Saccharomyces cerevisiae S288C: one gene and its partners. The protein of the gene in region 1 binds, or shares a complex with, the protein of each later gene. Each region holds a gene or a part of one and is shown on either strand. Other genes may lie near its edges.

Evidence for each region. Proteins that work in one complex are often made in the same cells at the same time.
Region 2: BIR1 (region 1) and IPL1 share a complex: the UniProt entries of both Saccharomyces cerevisiae proteins name them as parts of the CPC complex.
Region 3: BIR1 (region 1) and SLI15 share a complex: the UniProt entries of both Saccharomyces cerevisiae proteins name them as parts of the CPC complex.

What each region holds. Positions count from the first base shown.
Region 1 is NC_001142.9:585,733-591,142, reverse strand, and holds BIR1 (survivin), read right to left. Parts: upstream 3,426-5,410; coding exon 561-3,425; downstream 1-560. Other genes in the region: SCF ubiquitin ligase complex subunit GRR1, read left to right, coding at 1-271; EMC2 (Emc2p), read left to right, coding at 3,770-4,648; STE18 (Ste18p), read right to left, coding at 4,743-5,075. UniProt on the Saccharomyces cerevisiae protein: Component of the chromosomal passenger complex (CPC), a complex that acts as a key regulator of chromosome segregation and cytokinesis.
Region 2 is NC_001148.4:155,990-159,587, forward strand, and holds IPL1 (aurora kinase), read right to left. Parts: upstream 1,605-3,598; coding exon 501-1,604; downstream 1-500. Other genes in the region: signal recognition particle subunit SRP72, read right to left, coding at 1-223; RKM1 (protein-lysine N-methyltransferase), read left to right, coding at 1,853-3,598. UniProt on the Saccharomyces cerevisiae protein: Component of the chromosomal passenger complex (CPC), a complex that acts as a key regulator of chromosome segregation and cytokinesis.
Region 3 is NC_001134.8:550,604-555,146, forward strand, and holds SLI15 (Sli15p), read right to left. Parts: upstream 2,598-4,543; coding exon 501-2,597; downstream 1-500. Other genes in the region: HSP70/90 family co-chaperone CNS1, read left to right, coding at 1-325; ICS2 (Ics2p), read right to left, coding at 2,940-3,707. UniProt on the Saccharomyces cerevisiae protein: Component of the chromosomal passenger complex (CPC), a complex that acts as a key regulator of mitosis. Stimulates IPL1 kinase activity and facilitates its association with the mitotic spindle.

The DNA of each region.
Region 1 (5,410 bases):
TGTATCGGATGCTGGGGCAAACGATACAAGTAACAATGAAACTAACAATGGTAATGATGACAATGAAACAGAAAATCCAAATTTCTGGCGTCAGTTTGGCAATAGAATGCAAATATCACCTGACCAGATGAGGAATCTCCAAATGGGACTTCGTAATCAGAACATGGTTAGGAACAATAACAACAACACAATTGACGAATCAATGCCTGACACTGCCATTGATTCTCAAATGGATGAAGCATCAGGAACGCCCGATGAAGATATGTTATAATTGTATTTCATTGAATACTTACTGTCCTACTACACCTTTATTTTCAAAATCCCACTTTTCTTACTTATTTACATATAAATACATAATGCATTCACTTTGAAACTTTTTGCCTTAGCATGTATACGCTATAGACTTGCGGTATCAACGAATATACGTAACGTTGTCACGTCCACAGAAGATGCTATGTCAACAGTTCCCTGCAGATATCTGCGATGCGGCGAAACATTCTATACACAGTTTCAAAACTACAAAAAATACAAACCTTTAGCCTGTTTATCAAATTAGTTAGCTATAAAATGCCCATTTTCTTAGCAATATCGATCAATTGATTGTCATCTTCCAAAGTTTCAATAAAATTTGTGGCAGTATAGTAATCCCTTCTCAATATGTCCAATTTCTTATCACAGTCATCTATAAATTCGCGCTTAATAGATTGCACTTTTAGGTTCACCCAATTGTTGAATGTCATGTCCAACTCTTCTGCAGGCATTTGCTTAATCAAAAAAGCCAGATCACCGTCTTTGTCATTAGCTAGCGTAGCATCATTATTATTTATATATTTTAACAAATCATGGAAGTAATTTTTTACAAGGTGTCTATTTTCATCAATTTTAAACCATTCTGCTGCATTCGGTTCTTTTTCGTTGTTGCCCTCATTAAATGAACTTCCTTTCTTAGAATTATCAGCCAAACTTGTGCTTGTTTCCTTTCTTTGTTCTTCTAAACGTGAATTCCGTGGATATGAAGAGGTTCCAGACACCAAATTCCTTGCAACTGATGGGACTGGCTCAAATTCGGGTTTAATAACCTTTTTTATTTCTACAGTTGATGAATCTATAGGTATATCCAATTCCTTCCCAGAAAACTCTTCATCAAATAATTTTCTTGACTTGTTTTCTTGAGATGCGATCGGGGTTCCAGTCTCAAAAAGTAACATTTCATTATTTGGGGTCTCATTCTTCACAGACACATCTTCCAGTATTTTTATAGTTTCCTGCTTATTAGTAAAATACTTACCATCGTCAGTTTCTTTTTTGAGGCCAGAAAGCTCTTTGACTGCATGCAAACTGCGTGTGAGATTAATTTTAGGGCTCGCTACCGGCGTTGAAATAACGCTTGAGCTTTTTGATGATTGCTCAGATTGTGATGATGGTGAAAAATCGGACGCCGAAAAATTTAGATCTATATTGATGTTATCTAATTTTCTTTCTGTTGGAACAACTTTTCCACTTATTGATAGGCTTCTTGGTTCTTGCAAGTTTTTCCTTGGTTTAGGATGAATATCAGCGGGAATGCTGGATGTTTTGCTATTGCCTCTCCTTTGTTCCTCTTTGGGTATTGCGGTAATATTACTGGAATTATCACCACTTTTATTAGAATGTAATATATCTGGAGATTGCCGTACAGTTGAATCTTTTTGATGTCGAAATTCCCCGTTTTGTGCTTCCCTCTTTTCAGAGTTATCTCTAATTAACTCATGTGTCTTTGGAACTTCTGGGGATCCACCATTGGGGACCTTATCTCTGTCGATATCACCCAAATTCTGATCTACAATTTGCGTTCTTATAAGAATATTAGTACTACTGTCTCTACCTGTGAGTTTCACTTCACTGAAATTTAAATCTTCTTCAGAATTAACAGAAAATTTTTCGTGTTTAGAAGACGCTCCTTTTGTGTCTGTATTTATGCCAGTATCATCTTCTCGTATAACATTGTCATTATCTGAATCTATACCTTTGAGCAAATGTGATGAGGTTGGTATAGGTATGTCAAATGTGTTATGTCCTTGGTTACTGAAACTGAATTCATCTGTGCTGTCATCTAAAATAGCATTCTTTCTCCCTACATCTCTATTTTTTATGATATGGCTTGTAAAATCTATAACCAAATCCTTATCTTTGTTGTCTCCGTTGGCAGAATTATTATTAAGGGAGTGTTCGCTATCTTCCTCATCAAAGATTTTTCTAGGCGATATTCTCTTAAACTTTCTTTTCTTTTTTATAGGTGACGATGATTGGGTTAGCTGGACATTTGGACGTTTGATTTCTTTTGCAGTTGGTGTCGAAATAACTTCTTTCTTATCTGCTAAAACATCACGATTTATATTGCCCTCTTCTAATGTAGTGCTTCCATTTTCCATGTTGATTTGTTCTTTTTCTTCCACACTATTACGTTTTACATTTTCGCCTTGTGCTCCATCAAGCACACTTATATTATGTTGAATAACAGATATATCTGTCTTCTCATTATAATCGTCAAGTTGAGGACCAGTACTAGATGGAGGTGACTCAAATAAAGGACACTGCCTTTGAGAAGCGGTTTTCGTGTTGATCACTTCTCTTTTCCCATTTTCGCCTAAAGTTGGAGAGACTTCGCAATTTTTCGTGATACTGTCATTGTCATTTTTTATTCTCTCAAATCGATTACGTGTCTGAAAGAAATAACAGTTCCCATTTTGAGAAACCTTATAATGTCGGCTCATCGGATCGTCATTTATTGACCAACCTTGTAACAACTGTTTGCAATAAATACAATAACAGGTATCGTTCATAAGTGTTTTATCCATGCTTGGATCGCCTAAGCCTTCTATGCTGGAGTCGTATCGCATGAGTCCTGCATTCACCATCTTTTCTATACCCAGCGGATGTTCATTTTGAGAACCACTGTGAGGCCAGTTATCTTGAAAAGTAAATTTTCTTAGGTTTATCACGTTTTCATCATCTGGATTGCTGAAGTACTTGTCATTTTTCCAGTCCGAAACCCCCATATGGAAGCTATAGTCCGTCAATAGCTTATTGCGCAAGTAAATAAGGAGGCAAACTTGTTTGTTATCAGTAACAGTCAGATGTTGCCTCATTATATTGCTTAGAGTCTCAAGAACATCTTTTCTTTTGGATCTGCAGTCTCTCACATTGTATGTTTGACGATGACAATAGCAACATCTTACAGAGTCTTTTTTCAGTTTAGATGTCTTAGGATCGATCACTGGATCAAAGTAAAATCCAAGCTTGGCCATTGCCTGATACGGAATAACTTTAAAACTCCACTTTAACTTTTTTTTTTCAAGTGCAACACCATCTTGGAAAGTCCTTAACCTATTCTCCAGTTTGGTCATGCTATATCGCTTCTCCATTTTATCTATTTGACCATCCATAATCCCATGAGGTATAAACAACCGATGTGTCCTCGAATGTTGCACGCCCAGAGAACTTTAGCTAGGCTTTCAACACTAATATGAAACCTCAATCAATCTGAAAGAACTATAGGACACACTATAACTAAAAGTGCTTGATGACCTTGACCGATGTGTGAAATGGGTATGTATTGCAATATTATACTAAACTGTTAATCTTCGTATCGCGTGATGTGTTAGAAGCGTTGACTAGTGAAGTTAAGTAAAGAGATTTGGATCGTTAATGAAATAAATAACTATGTATGAATGAAAGGCATTGGATCGCATTGGAACGGAGAAAATTATAGAAAGCAGTAGATAAAACAATGTTGAAGGATTTGGTTAGAGAAAAGCTTTTGACAATTATGAATACCAAAGCGTATACTCAATTTAATCCAGAACAATTACTGCAACTAGAAAATGAAATGAAAATTTACATGAAAAGCGGAGACTCTGCACTAACAGAAGGAAACTATTTCTTCTTGATGGAAATGCTTTTCTATGTTTTGGTGTACCGAAACCAAGACGTTGATGCGCAAGTTGTTTATAATACATTAAGAGATCGTCTTGGTGAAAATTCGTATAAAATGGTAATCATGAAAGCCACTTTATTGCAGATAAACGGAAATGATAAAGGCGCTATTGAATATCTGGAAAATTTGTTGAATGATGATCTGGAGTATGAAACGGACTTCGTTACTTATGTCTCTATTGCAAAGAAATTGATAGCTATCAAGACAACTTCCAAGAACTTGAGCCAAGAAAGTGTTCTTAAAGAAGTGGTAGCTCTTACAGATAAATTCCCGCTTGATGCAGAATTGTGGTGGTATGCCAGCGAGATTTATTTCGAAATGGGCCAATTTGAAAAAGCCTGTTATTGTTTGGAACAGGTCCTATGTATTACACCATTCAATTACGCTTGTTTTGGTAGGCTAAGTGAGACTCTGTATTATGAGGCTCTACGTAGCAAGAAACAAACCAAGACCGAGCTCTTGGAAAAGGCATTAAAGAATGCTTTGAGGAGCGTTGAACTTAGCGAACTATACCTAAAAGGGTGGGCATTGGTTAACATCATTTCTCGCGAACTGGGACGTAATAAACAAAATGACTTGATCAAACTATCTGCATCGAAGCTAAAGGAAATTTCTGCGAAGTCTAACAATAAAGATAAGATTACCGCTGAATTAATTTTGAATAAGATATGAACGGAGCCAAAATTAGAAGAAAAAAAAAGATAGGGTGAGAGAGGATATGAAAAAGCATGTATATTTTTTTTTTTTTTGGATTCTATTACTATCATTACATAAGCGTACAACAAACACTATTTGAGTTTGACATTTGGCTATTTTTTTGAGCATTTTTCAAACCCTCTATAAAATGATTTGATCCTGCTACGGGGTAGCCCCATAGTTCTGGTAATGTATAATCTTTTGTATTCGAGGTATAGTTTATTATTGTAAGACATGCATTTGAAGCAGTAATTCTTTCACGGCTGAGTTCTTTCCTCAGTTTATTGTTAAGTTCGTTGATTCTTTTTAACTTCAATTGTTTTATCTTTAAGGAAAGCTGTTGCTGTTGCTGTTGCTGTTCCTGAGGTTGTTGTAAGCGTGGAGAGTTTTGAACTGATGTCATTCTTAGAATTATTGAGAACGTTTGCGATTGCTACTATCCTAAAATTGACAGGTGCTGTCACAAAACATTTCTGTTCTCCTTGTTAAATATTGCATCAAACATTTAGAGCCTGAAACAAAAATCAACATGAAAACCGGGTAACAGGGAGACATTCACTCATCACATTGACAAATCATATTATATAGTGAAAAGCGTACGTAAATTTTGACTATAAAGCAAGATTTCAAGAGTTGCAGATGATATTAAGACTGTCATCAAGCCGGAAGAGAAGCTAGTACGAATATTTCTTGTCGTTTTTAATTTCTCTCTTTATACTCGTTCCAAAATTGTACGAT
Region 2 (3,598 bases), on another chromosome or scaffold:
CGTACTTGTCATCTATATGTTTGAATTTTTTTAAATAATGTAAAGCCTTTTGATACTTGTCCTGTTGGATAACAGCTACTAAGCAACGTCTAAATACATCCGCTGGATTCTCACATCCAGAATCCAATAGTTTCACGCAAGTCTGTTCGACCTGCGAATGCTCGTCTTGAGACAATTGAATGTTCAATTGAGAGAGCAAATTAGTTAAATTATCTTTAGCCATTTTTTTGCTTTCTTTCATTACTCTTATTATTGATCAGAACCAACTCAACAAAGTAAATCTGCTACTTTAATGCATAGCAATTTTCAGCTTGTTTTCCTCTTTTCTTTCGACAAAGGCGAAAGAAAAGAGGAAAAAATGAACAAGAAAATTTAATCAAATATCGCAATATACGATGCCGAAAAGAGTAATGAAATATTAGAAATGGATACTTAGTATTATGTGATATGTGCGGGAGTGATTAATAGTGCCCTTCAAACGATTCTGTCATACTTTAATTCTATAACCGCTTATTTTCCCAAAAGGGCTTGTTTCTTAGTATCCAAGGATGCATTTTTACGTCTCCAAGGCGCATTCTATCTTTGGGGTCGTATTTTAGTAGTTTAAGTATTAAATCTTGCGCATCCTGAGAAATGTTACTGGGCATTTTGATATCCAGTGCTGCTATCCTTTTATATGTAGTATCTTTCATTTCTTCTTCGAACGGAGGGGCACCGGTCAGTAGTTCAAACGCCAGGACGCCAAGAGCCCATGCATCTATAGTGTGATCATATTCCCTTGACTCCACCATTTCTGGAGAAAGGTAGTCAATTGTCCCACAGACAGTTTTCCTTCTATTTTCTGGCGGATTTATTATACTCCATCCGAAGTCCGTTAACTTAATGACATTATTGAACCCTATTAGTATATTTTCAGGTTTAATATCTCTATGAATAATATTCTTTTTATGCATATAATCTAGGGCATTGGCAATTTGATAAATATAATCTGATGCTAAAATATCGTTGAAGGGTCCGTGTAACCTCAATAGTTTATACATTTCCCCATTGACTAAGTATTCCATTAGCAGGTACACTCTTTTTTCATCATGAAAATAGCCGTATGATTTAGTTAGATTCGGATGATTTAGCGATGTTTGTATTTCTACCTCCCTTCTGAATTGTTTCTGTAAATTATACTTTATTATTTCTTCCTTCTCCATTACTTTCAGTGCGCAAATATATCCTGTACTCCTGTGCCGAACGCAATAAACTTTACCGAATTTACCCTTTCCTAATTTCTTCCCCAGTTCAAAGTCATCGAGTGATAGGGATTTAAATTTAGGTAGCTTCTTATTTTCGTGTATCATTTTGGAAGAAGTCGCTTTCCTTATAGGTGATGGAATTTTGGAGCTTTCCATATCCAAAAACTTCTTATTGTTTACAGGTAATCTGTTCAATTTTTCTCTTACAGGTGAAGGTATTTTTGAATTCGGGTTTCTTTGCTGCGGCGAATGGGATATTCTCCATGGTTTATTGATCCTGGACGTATTTGGTCTTGTTGTGGTCTTTTTCGATGGCGAATTAGCGTTTAGTTTGATATTTACTAAACTATTGCGTTGCATTCCCTTTTTACTTCTTTCTTTTGTTGTATTTCAAAATCCCAGTTTTTTTTGCGCTAAGAATGATCTTGCTTTGTTTATGCATTCACTTGAGCAATTGCATCAGTTGGCCTTAGCTCAAGGTTTTTATAGAATGGTAAACAAATTAAGCGCTTTACAGGAAAAACGCGTGAAGTTAAACTTACTGTTCAATAAGCAATGCTGTATCGGAAAATGGAGCACAAAGGTTATAGATACAAGAGAAGACTATCATGTCATCAGATGCGTTAAAAGCACTACTTCAGTGGGGTGCGTCATTTGGTGTAATAGTGCCAGAGGAACTCAAGTTTTTATATACCGATCTTAAGGGCATTATTTGCGTATGTGAAAAAGATATAGACAATCCCAGCATCAAGATTCCTCCCGAGATTGTCATTTCAAGGAATCTGCCCATGAAGTTTTTTGGGCTAAGTGAATCCACTAAGAATATCAACGGATGGCTGAAGTTGTTCTTCGCAAAAATAAAATTTGATAGGGATAATGATACTATCGTGGACAATGTTCGTGTGAATGATAAATTTAAACCTTACTTGGATGCATTGCCTTCCCGCCTAAATTCGCCCTTGGTCTGGAACCCAAGCGAGTTGAAGCGTTTATCATCTACAAACATAGGGAATTCGATTCATGAAAAGTTCGAAGGTATATTTAAAGAGTGGTTTGAACTGGTCAGTTCTTCAGATATGTTTGACTTGGAAAGAGTGGCAGATGATGTGCAGACCTTCCATAATCTCGATGAGTTGACATATGAGGCTTTGTATGAGAAGATTTTGAAGATAACAGAACTTCAAAGACCAACTATCTGGTATTCTTTTCCTGCATTTTTATGGTCGCACCTTATATTCATTTCAAGAGCATTCCCTGAATATGTGCTAAACAGAAACTGTCCTGACAACTCTATTGTACTGCTTCCCATCGTCGATCTTCTAAATCATGACTACCGTTCCAAAGTCAAATGGTATCCTGAAAATGGGTGGTTCTGTTATGAAAAAATCGGTACCGCCTCCCAATCACGAGAACTATCAAATAATTATGGCGGTAAGGGAAATGAGGAGTTACTCTCTGGATATGGATTTGTTTTAGAAGACAACATATTTGACTCAGTGGCTTTGAAAGTTAAATTGCCATTAGATGTGGTATCTACAATTCTTGAAACAGAACCTAGTTTGAAGCTGCCCTTACTTTCGGATTACACCACTTATGCTTTTGAAAACAAAGACTGTGTCCAGCAAGAAAAGAAGGCTACTCGTAGTGCTACAGACTACATCAATGGGGTGACTTACTTCATTAACATACAAAATGAACAATGTTTAGAACCATTACTGGATCTTTTTACCTACCTTTCTAAGGCCGAAGAGGAGGATCTACACGATTTGAGAGCCCGTTTGCAGGGTATACAAATGCTACGAAATGCATTGCAGAGCAAACTCAACAGCATTACTGGACCACCTGCAACTGATGACTCTTATGCAATTGATCCTTACAGAGTCTATTGTGCTGACGTTTATACTAAAGGTCAAAAACAAATTTTAAAAGAGGCTTTAACGAGGTTGAAAAAACTAGAAAAAACAATGCTGTCAGAGAACAAGCACCAATTGCTAACCATGAGCAAAATTCTTAAGAATGACCCTGCTTTTGCAGAAACTGAATTACCTTCGCTGTTCAGCAACGAAGATGGTGAAGAGGTCATCTTTGAATCTACTTATGATTTATTGATACTTTGGATTCTACTGAAAACGAAAAAGAATTCTTACCCCACCAAATATGAATGGGTTGGACAGCAGTATACTAATTTCAAGCAAACTGCATATATTTCAGATGATGCCAAGGCTTTCCATACTGCATACTTCGAGAAGCAAGACGATGTGGATTTGGCCGAAGTAGATCATGCGATTCAGTTTGTAGTAGACAATTCCTTTACCAGAACTTCATCTACAACCGAAGAGACTATTTTAGTACGT
Region 3 (4,543 bases), on another chromosome or scaffold:
ATTTGATTTTGTAGGTGAAGTAAGTGAGTTAACTACTGTGCAAGAACTTGTTGACCTAGTTTTGGAAGGGCCGCAAGAACGCTTCAAAAAAGAAGGTAAGGAAAACTTCACACCAAAGAAAGTGTTGGTGTTCATGGAAACAAAGGCAGGTGGTTTGATTAAAGCTGGTAAGAAACTGACATTTCACGATATCTTGAAGAAAGAGTCGCCAGATGTACCATTGTTCGATAACGCTTTGAAAATATATATTGTGCCAAAGGTAGAAAGTGAAGGGTGGATTTCCAAGTGGGATAAGCAAAAAGCCTTAGAAAGAAGATCTGTGTGAAGTGTCAAATAGTTAAAAATATGTAACGCAAAGTTGTAGATAGAAATAACAAAGCAAGAAGGAAAAGTAAAGAAAGTGAACGATATACGTAATGCAGGGGGAATACCAGAGTATTTAAAGTGTACTTGATTTAATGTTAACCAGTTTGAATTTTTCTTTTCTGGGGTAATCGAATTCAAGACCTTTTGGGCACAATTTGACGCGGTTTCAACCTGTTTAGCCTAGGATTTGGGAAAATTTCATCGGTGTGCAAAGGCGGAATTGGTCCAAAGATAGTTTGTGGATTTATATCTTGCTGTCTTATCAATTGCTCTTGCAAATACGGGGATTTAGCCCATGCCGCTAAAGTTACGCTAGCCTCATCTTCAGAATCAGTATTTATCTCTGGTAAAGAATCATTGACAGAGGCTATCTTTGGGGTCACATTTCCGATTATTTCTCGATGGTCAACTGTATTTATTGTGGCCAATATATTGTCGGTACTAAATGCAGTATTTTTGTTGATGGTATCTCGCACATGATTATCGAAAGGAGCCAAAGATTCTTTTAGACGTATGTCCTTGTAGTCATTACTAAAGCTTGTTTGCTTTTTTAGATCTTGTTCCAAATGCGACATCCTTTTTTGTTTCTCTTGTTTACGCCGATGATGTTCCTGTTGAGACCTCATAATTCCTGATAACCTTTTATCAAACTTTTTTTTTAAGTCATCTCGTTCTGCCTCTGCTGGTGGAAGTAATTGAAGGTTTGTAAGCCGATAATTTTTGGATTTACGAGACTCTGGCTTGGAGATGTCAGCAATATTCGGAGAAAGTTTTCTTAATGTTTTCTCTTTAATTTTCAAACGATGTGGCGTTTGCGACGTTGTTAAATTTTTATTTTTATTAGGCGAAATAGACGCTTTTGTTGGTCTCAAATAACCTCTTACAGGGCTTTGGTAATAATTTTTAACTTCTTTAGATGGCGAGCTTGAATCGACACTTATTTTTGTTGGAGAAATACTGTGCGGTCTTGAACCAGTTTTATGAACATCACTAGAGTGTTTGGACTTCTTTTTCTGTTCTGCAATGATTGCTAGCTTTTTGTGTGTCGTTAGCTTCAAAGAAGTCTTATCAAACCTCGGAATAGAGGATTTTCGAGAGTTTTTTCCTTTGGGTGAATTATTTTTGGTTATTTTATTTTTTACTGAGAATATATCTCTTAACGCTTCTTGCATATCAGTATCCGTGGAGTTTATTGACTTAAACTTTTGAGAAACTTTTTTCATGGGGGAGCCTGTTAAATCGATTGATGAAGAGGAGTATTTGTGACCAACGTTTCCACGGGAAATTTTGTTTTCAAATGATTTTGTTGGAATAGATGATAGCCTATCGAAAACACTGGATGCTTTTGTAGATCCCGCGGTATCACTGTTTTCCACAGCTCTTATAGCAGGACTATTTATCGTAGATTTTTTTTTAAATGCGATTGGTGATTCCTTTACTGTTCGTACTTTTGGTATTGATCCTGAAGATTTTGTTGGTGGAATGTGTTGAATAATAAGAGGATCTTTATTCGGCAGTGGAACAAACATATTCGACCTTCTTTGAGATCTCGCTATCCCAGAATTCGGTGGTGGTTTCACCTTTACTGATTCAGCTTTCTTTAAAGCTTGAAGTATAGGTTCATTCTCCATTTCTTCCTTAGCCGCCCATGTTTGATTATCGAAGCGTTTTGTATTAATCGGAGACTCCGAAGTCTTGGAGGATTCTCTTAGAACCTTTTCAACTTTGTAAGGTGACCATGGTGAGGATTTTTCGCTTTCATTGGCGTCGACTTTAACGCTATTCAATGGCTCAACCGGGCTTTTATTGGTATCATGTATACTAAATCTATTCATTCCTTCGGTGACTTCCTTCCTGCGGAGTGATTTAGGCGTGATACTTTTATCGTTATGTAATCCATTTCTGGGTGTCTTAGTAACGTCTTTTGCGGCATCATTCTGGGAGTTAGAAAGTTCATATTCTCCTTTCATTTTAGGAAATTCGACATCCATTTTGTTATGCGTATTTTCGGGGCTAATTAAAGACTCTTCCATCTTTTTGTCTTCATACTTGAGTGTATTCATATAAACATTATTTCTTAACCATTCACTACTTTCGTACAATCGTTGATTTATTTCTGAATGTGCATCTGTTGTTAGATTATTTAGATCATCGAGGGTTTCTATGATTGAACGGGTAGAGCCTGGCTTCCTTTGAGTTTTCTTCCTAGCTGCTTTGATTGCCCAGTCCATTGTTTAAATCTTCGGGCTCTTTCAAAGTCCGTCAGTTGAGGAGATACTTTGAAACGTTTTGTTTGTATCATTGGCAATACTTGAAACGAGTTTTTGTTTGTTTTCTTTTTTTAGTTAATTCGCGAAATTTAAAATATGAAGATCGGTTTCAGAACAGAATGGATCAGGCTTTTCCGCGTATAAGAAATAATAACACTGACATAACGCTATAACGAAACAGCGTAACAAAATACTCTTTACATGGTTTATTTTTATATATTCATTTAACATTATCAAAACTAACATTAAGTCCTTTATTTATCAAAACAAACGAAAAAAAAAAATGCGAGACAAATGATCCAGTCATTTATTGTCAATATCTAAGTCAATTAGTGGTTGCAATATGTCTCCAGTTTCCACTTTATGAGCAAAAATTTTGCCCTCAATATTTATCTGATTTTTTTCAGCGAATTCTTTCAAACTCCCGAATCTACCGCTTGCGTTTCTTCTTAATTGTTCATTGGTATTCATGATTGTGTTTTTCGGGGACATTTGGTGGGTATATGAAGTATCCGGTGAAGAATGATATTCTTTGTCCAAGAAAGAACTTGCCAATGAAGTTTTTCTTGAATTGACGCCTATGCTTGAATTAGAATCGTACCCGTCAATGAAATTTGGCTTACAAGACCTGCTGAATGAGATTGCATGACTTTTTCTGTGGTAACTTTTCCTTCGCCCTGAAGGCTTTGTAAGTTCGTGTGATAATGAACGTGAATGCGAATGTGATGATAATTCATTACTTTCTACCCTTAAAGGTGATACCGCATTAGGCTTTCTTGGACATATGGAGGAATTTCTCCTCGTTTTCACACCATCCTTGTCTCCAGGGAAAGAGTAGGTCTTCAGCTTGTTGAACAGAGCTTCGCCTTGAGACTCTTCAAAATAAAAGCTCTTTTCGTACTCATGGGGTTGTTTGCTGCTATCGAACTGAGATTCTGTTGAAGAGAGAGAGCTGAAACGTCCATAGAGTGGGCTGCCAAGTGATTTAATGGATGTACTAGATTGACTGCCCGTAGTAGGAAAACTAAATGTGCTTATTCTTTCTCTTTCTTTTTGCTCAAATTTGCCCATATCTTGCTGGAAAGGGAAACTTCAGTGAAGTAATAACGAAGGTGGTGTAGAGTATAAATTTTTATTAAGTATGCGCTTTGACGTTCACATATTTGTAAAAGATTTATTTGAGAAGATAGAATGGGTCTCATTTATTTATACTTAAATGCTTCTTTGGATGTCAAGCTTTCTTGATGCCGGACTTGCAGTCGAAGGGCTCTTTCCCAACAGATATGTAACCAAATGCGTCGAATAGAAAAAGAAAGTCTTCCAAGGAAAGTTTATTACGAGGGGTTTTGTGCATTAACGTGGCATATAATTAGGTATAAACTCAAGGTTGGCTTAAGATTAGCGAAACAAAAGTATAAACGACCCAAAATTGGAGTGGATGTGTTCTTTAACACATAAACTGTCGTACAAAAAAAAAAGAAACAAAGAGCAGTTGAAAGAACATCAAGATCATAAGGACCCCCATATCGTGATAATCATTGATGACCAAATCGTGAACTCCCTGCGCCTATGCCGTGCCATAGCAAATAAAGTACTGGGCTGGATTGTTAATGACTTGCATATTAACGACAGGTAAACGGTACCCTATTTTTCTTTTTTACGTGCTACGGACGAAAAGTGAGGGTGATTAACGCTTCAAATAAGAAACGACGGCTAGCAGGGTCTAGATGCGTGAGATGAGATAAGGAAAAGAGCTCTGTGTCCCAGGTAATAATCCCTGGAGAGATATAATCTTCCCTACAACTTGATTGCATATTAACGCTCCCAAGTTGTGGCCATTGAAGAGCTCTACAGCAATGTCCCGACGAACGGAAATAACCCTCTTTTTCATGATATTTTCGGAGTTA